2 linked regions of the Ovis aries genome follow. The main gene of each other region encodes a partner of the protein of the gene in region 2 in a complex. Links are inferred from orthologs where the notes say so. Each region holds a gene or a part of one and is shown on either strand. Other genes may lie near its edges.

Region 1 (3,818 bases), on a different chromosome or scaffold from region 2:
TAAGGAGTTTGTGACAAACACAAAAAATCCAAAAGCTTCTATAAACAACTTTTATGAGCACCAAAAACTTAAATTTGGTCAGGTGTGGCAGAAACAAGGGGAGATCTACAACTGCTTTTAAGCAGATGGGAATCTGGCTATATGTTTCTACATATAAGACCTTCTGTCATAGGATACACCTTCTAGAACAATTTTCATCTTTAAAATGAATCAGAGATCTGGCCTCCGGAAGGACCAAAAGCACTCTCCATCCAGGCTGTGATGTTTTATTGGAGCAAAATTTCAACAAAAGGTGGCTTTTATTTACAGAGTTTAATGTGTGCGGTGACTGCTTAACCCACTTGGACTCAAGTGAAGATAACAGTTAAGCCTGCTTAGATATTGTCTTGTTTTCAATTTGCATACAAAAAAGTTTGCTTCACATTCATAAAACCCCCAATATTATAAATGAACAAATCCTCCCTCACCCACCCCTTAATTAAATATAAACCCAGTTTCAAAACACATATAGTTTAGATTGGTTTAATCTTGAAATGTAATCCAATAAGACTAAACACTAAACACTTCAGGTCCTGTACCAAATAGTAAAATACTCGAAGGCCTTCAGGATCCCTAAAATTTAAAAGATAAAAGTTAGTTTTTTATTCCAAGAATGAAACAACATAATAATATAAGTTAATTCTTAAAACAGAGACCAAAAACCAAAAAAAATTAAAGGAACTGAGGAGAAAGGATTTTCTGATAACTATTAATATAACTGATATACTGGACAATTTCTATCTTTATCTTTTCTCTGAACTTTTCTCTGAAATTCCTCTCTCTCTTTTACACTGAAACCAGTTAAGCAAACAAGTTAAGTTATTATAAGTTACGCTGATAAGAAAATAACACTAGGAGAACATTTTGAGGGGAAAGAGTGGAAAGCAGTAGAAGGAGGCAGAGAGCTTTTTCAGATAATAGTAAGAGGTATCTGTCACACACAGAGCTTGGGAAGGCACATATGGCTACAGCCATACTTAAGCTATATCAGGCTTTTCTCCATTTCTTTCAAGTATTAAACCCAAGGAGGCAAATGATGTCATATGGAACTAATAAGGCTGAGAAATTCAAGAAGATTTCTTTTAAACTCTGTGGGGCTGCATCCAGACTAATTTTGGGAATCAGTAAAATATACTGTTAACTTCTTTGATAATAAGTCTTTACTAATATAAAAATGAGGATTACATATACATAATAAATTGCTACAGGATACAATTAATCTCATCAAACTGGCTATGGTTCTAAAATAAGCCTAATAAATCATGTCAATTTAGTCAAAATGCTTTAACTTTTATTAATGCTTTTAATACTCACTTTGACTGATTGACATCAATAAGAGAACCTATTTTTGATGTGGTAAAAGAAATGTGTTCATCTCCAATTACAATTTCAAGCTCCTGAAAAAAATAAAACAGAGAAATGTAGTTAGTGTAAAAATTCACCTCTTACAACCAAGAGGTCCTGATTTTAGCTGCAAGTTTTCTAGCCGTAATAGAGGAGGGGGTAAAAATAAAAAAGAAACAATTTGTTAACTATGTCTGTAAAGTAAAAATCTCAACTCCTCAGAGTTCCCCAGTATTAGGATGAATCAAGAACTGCTTTCCAGAGATCTGACAAAGAAGATGCTATCAAATGAATGATAGACTTCAGAGGCACACAGAAATAGTGATGTCAATAAAAACTAAGAATATGGGTTTAAGCCTATTTTTAATATAATAAATACAAATACATTTATCCTTTCTACCAGGCTCTACAAATAAACTGCATAATGCTAATAATAGCACTATTTAGCACCTACTGTGTATCAGACCTGCTGATAGGGACTTTAAAAACATGTTCTTTGTAATCCCCAAAACTGGGCTAATAAAGCCTGTCTTTCTCAGGTCAGCTTTATTGCCTGATTTTACAAATATAAAGCCCAAGACTCAAAAGCAAGATAAAAAAAAAAAACTGTTTGTATTTACAACCACTAATATGTGATGGTACTAATATTTAACTCTTGGATTGTAAAACTGAAAGATTTGTGTACAAAATTAAGTATAAATTTTTCTCCACATTTTATCTGCAAATCTAAAATGAAAAATTAAGAGGCTATGTCTGTATTAAGTTTTCAGTTTAAATTAACAGATGCCATTAAAGACATTCCCAGATCTGTATTTGATCAGAAAAGATCTAATTATGCCCCTTTATGGCACACACACAGAATGGATAATTAACTAAGACTCTCAAGCAATCAAAATCTTTGACCTAAAGATCCAAGAGACAACTTCAACGGCAGAAGTAATCCTCCCCATTATCCAAAACACATGAACACATGATCAAGTGGGTAGATGAAAACACTGCTCTCTCCTTGAGTCTAAGAGATAAATAAAAGGTTTGCTGCTATTGTTTCTGATTTTTAATGCCTATATATATATATGTGTGTCTAAAACAAATGGAAATTTAAATTTACTTCTTAAAAGTGTTCACAGTGAATACAATAAATACTGTTAACTATTACCTTTGCTTTCCTAAATAATGTTTCTTTAAATAGAAGCGTTAAGTTACTGCTACAGAGCATCAGCATCTATTCTCCACATTTTCTTCTAGTCAAAGAAGTTGTTATAGAGTATAATCCTCAGGAACACACAAAAGCGAAATTAAGTGTTTCTTCCTCCTGCAGTCATATCTCATTCTTCCAGCAGTTGAAAAGACCCAATTCAGAAATCAAACTGTCTTTCTACAGAGTGAAATCAGGCCTTCAGAGCTCTTCAGCAGCTCTTTGAGAAATATCAATTTTTCTGAAGGGAATATGACAGGCAAAGGCAATGGTCAGTTTGAACAAAGAAACCAATCAAATCTCTCTGGAGTGTAAAGAAGCAAATACGAATTTTCAAAGTTATATATCTGGAGAAAGTGAATTTTACATAGTGAGAATCCTAATTCTCAAATTCATCAAACATTTGAGTTTTTTCCTACCTATTTTTATTATTTATTATCATTGGGCTTCCCAAGTGGTGCCAGTGGTAAAGAATCTGCCTGCCAGTGCCGGAGATGCAAGAGACACAGCTTTGGCTTTGACCCCTGGGTCAGGAAGATTCCCTGGAGGAGGAAATGGCAGCCCACTATAGTATTCTTGCCTGGAAAATCCCATGGACAGAGGAGCCTGGTGGATTACAGTTCATCAGGCAAGAACTCATTAGTCCTTATAAAAGTACTTAACCTATAATGGAAATTAATTCTAATACTGTGAAAACACCCTAAGGTTAGCTGCGGTGGCTGCAGAGAAGACTGTTCAGAAAGATGTCTAAACTGACTCCTTTATTACTAGGAGGTAGCTCACAAATTGATGCAAAGTGAAATACAATTATAAACCATTTACCAGGTGCCTACTAGATGAAAAAAATCCAAGATTCAATGAGGATCTATTCTAGATAAATAAGGAGAACCACAACAATTCTATTAATAATGTTTACAATTTATGCATTTAAAGAATTATTAAATACAAACCTGTCGGCCAACCCTGTCAGGGGGAGGCCACAAAGCATCATCTTCTTTTGTAATTTCACTGTCATCAATAATTCTCTTCAGTTCTTCCATGACACTCTTGTGTACATAAGCCTGATAGCAAGTAATAAAAATGTTAGGGTCTATGTCTTGACACAACTTAGACAGAAATAATAAAACGGAGTTACAAACCCTGAGTATTTAAATAGAATATTAAAGAAAAATTTAATTCTGATTCTAAAAGGAGAGAATCATTCATCCTTCTTATTGCTTTTTCTTCACTCTCTTGCCCT
Region 2 (4,559 bases):
AGCCTGTCACTGTTTCCATTGTTTCCCCATCTATTTACCATGAAGTGATGGGACCAGATGCCATGATCTTAGTTTTCTAAATGTTGAGTTTTAAGCCAACTTTTTCACTCTCTTCTTTCACTTTCATCAGTCAAGAGGCTCTTTCTTTGCTTTCTGGCATAAGGGTTGTGTCATCTGCATATCTGAGGTTATTGATATTTCTCCCGGCAATCTTGATTCCAGCTTGTGGTTCATCCAGCCCAGTGTTTCTCATGATGTAGTTTTCATATAAGTTAAATAAGCAAGGTGACAATATACAGCTTTGACTACTCCTTTCCCAATTTGGAACCAGTCTGTTGTTCGATTCCAGTTCTAATTGTTGCTTCCTGACCCGCATGCAGATTTCTCAAGAGGCAGGTCAGGTGGTCTGGTATTCCTATCTCTTTAAGAATTTTCTCTCACTAGTTTTACCTTGTCTGGAATTTCGTATCAATGAGATCATACAGCATGTACTCTTTGTGTTCTGTTTCTTTCACTCAGCATGACCATTTTGAGATTCATTCATGTGGATGGATGGATGGGTTCATTTGTAATTAAGTAGTATTTCATTCCAGAGAAGGCAATGGCACCCCACTCCAGTACTCTTGCCTGGAAAGTCCCATGGACGGAGGAGCCTGGTGGGCGGCAGTCCATGGGGTCAGGAAGAGTCAGACACCACTGAGTGACTTCACTTTCCCTTTTCACTTTCATGCATTGGAGAAGGAAATGGCAACCCACTCCAGTGTTCTTGCCGGGAGAATCCCAGGGACGGGGGAGCCTGGTGGGCTGCCATCCATGGGGTCGCACAGAGTCGGACACGACTGAAGCGACTTAGCAGCAGCAGCAGCAGTATTTCATTCTATGGATGTGCCACATTTTGTTTATGCATTAGTGGATTGACAGACATTTGGGTTGTTCCAGTTTGGAGATATTATAAATAATGCATAACTGGCCTTTTTAAAAGCTGGAAGGAGGTCAATCCTATCTAAAGTGAGTTGGATTTTATTTTCTCCTACCTACAGGGCATCAGTACCATGATAGATTCCTATTAACTTTTAAAAAGAGCGGTGAAAACAAATCTCACACATTTTGGTCATAATACTCCTTTAAATGTCAGTGTTTTGTGCATTGAGTGTCTGTGAATCCTAAAAAATATAAGGAAAAGAAATTCTAAAGGTTCTGAAAGCTCACTTTACAACCAATAATAGAAAATACAAGTCGTTCGTGAGGTAAACTTTGGATAACATCGATTTTATCTCTGGAAAACGAAGCCCACAGAGTGTATCTTTCTTTTTTTTTTTTAGAGTGTATCTTTCGATCTGAAAAACATTAACCTTTCAAGATTAAACTTTCCATTTACTTATAAACAGGGAACCTGAAATACTACGACTTCAGAACTCAGCCAGAAGCGGGTAACCGCTTTGAATGCCGGGATTTGTAGTCCGTGAAATACTCGTCCTAACCAAGATGGCGGATATGCTAATGAGCGGCCCCGAGGGAGTCTGGGCCGCGAGGGGATTGGGCGATGCGGGGATTCCGCGGGAGGGAAGCTAAGACCAGGTGTTACAACCTTTCCAGCGAAGGAAGCCGGATGCCCTGAAGTCTCGCGAGATCCTGCCGGGGCCCAATGGAGCGTTGGGGTCGGCTTATCACTAGGAGAGCTTGTTGGGGGCGGAGCTCTGCCCTGAGCGGGCCGGGAGGCGTAGGTGCCCGGCGTAGCGGCGTTTAGGCCGAGCTACCGCGGTGAGGAGCGAAGCTGTGGCCATGAAGGAGGAGAAGGAGCACAGGCCTAAGGAGAAGCGAGTAACCCTCTTGACTCCTCCAGGTGCTACAGGCAGCGGCGGTGGGGCTTCGGGAGACAGCACCAAAGGGGAAGATAAGCAGGATCGGAACAAGGAGAAGAAAGAGGCGTTGAGCAAGGTGTCTGGCCGGCTGTTGGCCCAGGAGAGGGCGGGACGGTTCCACCACCCGAGAAAGATGGTTGGGAATGGGGCTGCCCTCTTCCTCTCCCAATCTCTTCCTCTGTTTCTTCACTTGAGTGAAAATCGCATCACCCTGTCTCATCCACTCTCCCAAAATGGGGGTTCCCTTCCCGGCAGAGCTCCGGGATGGGAGTGAGGGAGGGCGGGGGGATTCCCTGACTGGAAGGGTTTAGGTCAGAGCCGTGAGATGATGATGGGAGGGGGGGGCGATAGCGAAAAGGATGAGGAATTGAGGGGGAATTATTAAACAGAAAGGTGCTATCACCAGCGGGAGTAGTACGTGATAGGAATATTAACAGGTTAGTTGAGGGAATGGGTGGGTGGCGGCTATTAATGGTCTTGGGCCAAATCGGGTACATTCTGTTCGGGGAGCAGTGAGGGAATTGGGGGTATTTCTTAGAATTTTGAATTCTTTATGCTGACTGAATAAGGACTTTATCAATCAAGAATTCCTGGCACCCACAAAAGACCAGGGTTGGTTTACAAATTTCTTACCACTACTGAAAAATGGGTGACAGAAAATGAGGCGAAAACCTAGTAAACCGTGGGGCTTCGGGTTAACAGAACCTAAGATTTCCTTGCTCCAGGCAGTTCTCGTTTCTGAGAGTTTTTTTTTTTTTTTTTTTTTAAACTATGTTACTGTTAACGTTTGACTAATCGTTCTGAGCGTTCTGAACATTCTCTTGGGTTTTTAGAAGTGATCTCATCTTTTAAAGGCCAACTTTCTTCAGGAACAGTGATTCAGGTATGACAGAAAATTGATTTGTACTAATTTTATTTTCCTTATTCATTTCTTAAGGTGGTAATTCGGAGATTACCGCCCACTTTGACCAAGGAGCAGCTTCAGGAACATCTTCAGCCTATGCCTGAGCATGATTATTTTGAGTTTTTTTCTAATGATACTAGGTAAAATAAGAGGGAGGGGTAAATGAAAAAGGTTTCTTCCATTCTTTTTTTTAATCCTACTCATGATTTCTATTTTATTTTTGAGCCTTTTTAATATATGCATACTTGTAATTCAGCCAGACACCTGCAAGCACATTCACATAATTGCTTTCCTTCCTGCAGTTTGTATCCTCATATGTATGCAAGAGCATACATCAACTTTAAAAACCAAGAGGACATTATTTTGTTCAGGGATCGTTTTGATGGTTATGTATTCCTTGACAATAAAGGTGAGTCCTTTTAACTGAAGGGGAGTTTGTCATTTGTTTAAGACAGTGTATCCCTGTTCTCTTGATGCCTTCATAGTGTTTCTGAAATCCTGAGTGATAAGATGAGCAACATTTAAAGAGTTTTATGCATTTGATAAGCTTATGACAGCCTTATAAATAGATAATATGAGGTTTTACAGGTATTTGTATTAACCTATTATTTCTCTAGTTTGTCAACCAAAGGAAATTGCCACTGTTTTCTCCTCCTGTGACAGTTCTTTTGCCCTGTTTTAGGTGATCCGTTGTCTTGAGTATTTACTAGTTTTAAGTGATACTGACAAGTGACTCTTTAAACTTGTATGACAAGTTTTAAATATTTACTTCTCATCTTGCTTCAAGGACCAATACTTATTTAATTCAGATCCTTTATGTCAATAGTTGCCAGTTGGAGTACTGTTTAACATTCTAAGTTGTATGTAATTAAACCACTGAGCTTGATGATTTCCCACTTCCTATCCAGGAGTTTATAGGGAAGAAAAACTTCTGCATTAACCCTCATTTTATTATTTGTTGCTTGCAACATTTAGCCAGAGAATGTCCAAGTCTGGCTACTTTTGCTACTAAGTTTGCTACTTTTCTTTTGGCTATGCAATATTGAATGATGTGTGTTTTTGTTAGATTATATTTTTTCAATATTACTTCAGAGTTGGTAAAAAATGAAATCTTTGTCAGGGAATATGCCAGTAAAAGTTGAAGAATTGCCTCTATGTTTGTCCAGTTTTTATTAATCCCCCCAAACCAGCTACTTTTCTGCTCCACAAATTTATTCCAGTAGATAGCAAATGGTTTCCTGAAAATCTGAGTTGTGTTTAACTTTTTCCTCTCTTTATCCCTTACATTTAAACAAGTGATGGATTTTGTCAATTTATTGCTTTTTAATATCTTGTTCATCTAGACTGAGGACGTTAGACTTACTGATACTTTCACATGTCCTCATCACCTAATGCTTAGACAACCACTCTCTCTAAACTTATAGAATTTTCCATTTTCTGTATAATTTAGTCTTACTTTGCCATGAAAATAATCTTTTTGAAGATAGTGACTTAAGACAGCAGTTGTGGGAAAAAAGTCCAAATTCCTTAGGTAGACAAAATGTTTTCATCACTTCAGAAAGAATCCTGTATTCATTAGCAGTCATCTCCCATTGTTTGGCCTCACTTCTAATTTTTTTTTTTTTTGCCTATATTCCACAATTTCCTTTTGCTTCGGTCTGGTTTATCTATTCCTTTTCAGGTATATCAGTTATTAAGGTAATATGATTCTGCACTCACTAGGATTTCTAAAATCTTGTTTCCTCTGTGACTGCTTTGTGATATCTAATGGTCAGTTCTAGTAATTTATCCTG

Evidence for each region.
Region 1: UPF3B (region 2) and MAGOHB share a complex: the UniProt entries of both Homo sapiens proteins name them as parts of the mRNA splicing-dependent exon junction complex. The link is inferred for Ovis aries from reciprocal best matches to the Homo sapiens genes UPF3B and MAGOHB.

What each region holds. Positions count from the first base shown.
Region 1 is NC_056056.1:204,670,821-204,674,638, reverse strand, and holds part of MAGOHB (protein mago nashi homolog 2), read right to left. Parts: intron 3,640-3,818; coding exon 3,529-3,639; intron 1,437-3,528; coding exon 1,354-1,436; intron 613-1,353; coding exon 513-612; 3' UTR 1-512. UniProt on the Homo sapiens protein: Required for pre-mRNA splicing as component of the spliceosome. Plays a redundant role with MAGOH in the exon junction complex and in the nonsense-mediated decay (NMD) pathway.
Region 2 is NC_056080.1:114,667,474-114,672,032, forward strand, and holds the start of UPF3B (regulator of nonsense transcripts 3B), read left to right. Parts: upstream 1-1,682; 5' UTR 1,683-1,782; coding exon 1,783-1,938; intron 1,939-2,695; exon of another isoform or gene 2,696-2,745; intron 2,746-2,799; coding exon 2,800-2,906; intron 2,907-3,068; coding exon 3,069-3,175; intron 3,176-4,559. UniProt on the Homo sapiens protein: Involved in nonsense-mediated decay (NMD) of mRNAs containing premature stop codons by associating with the nuclear exon junction complex (EJC) and serving as link between the EJC core and NMD machinery.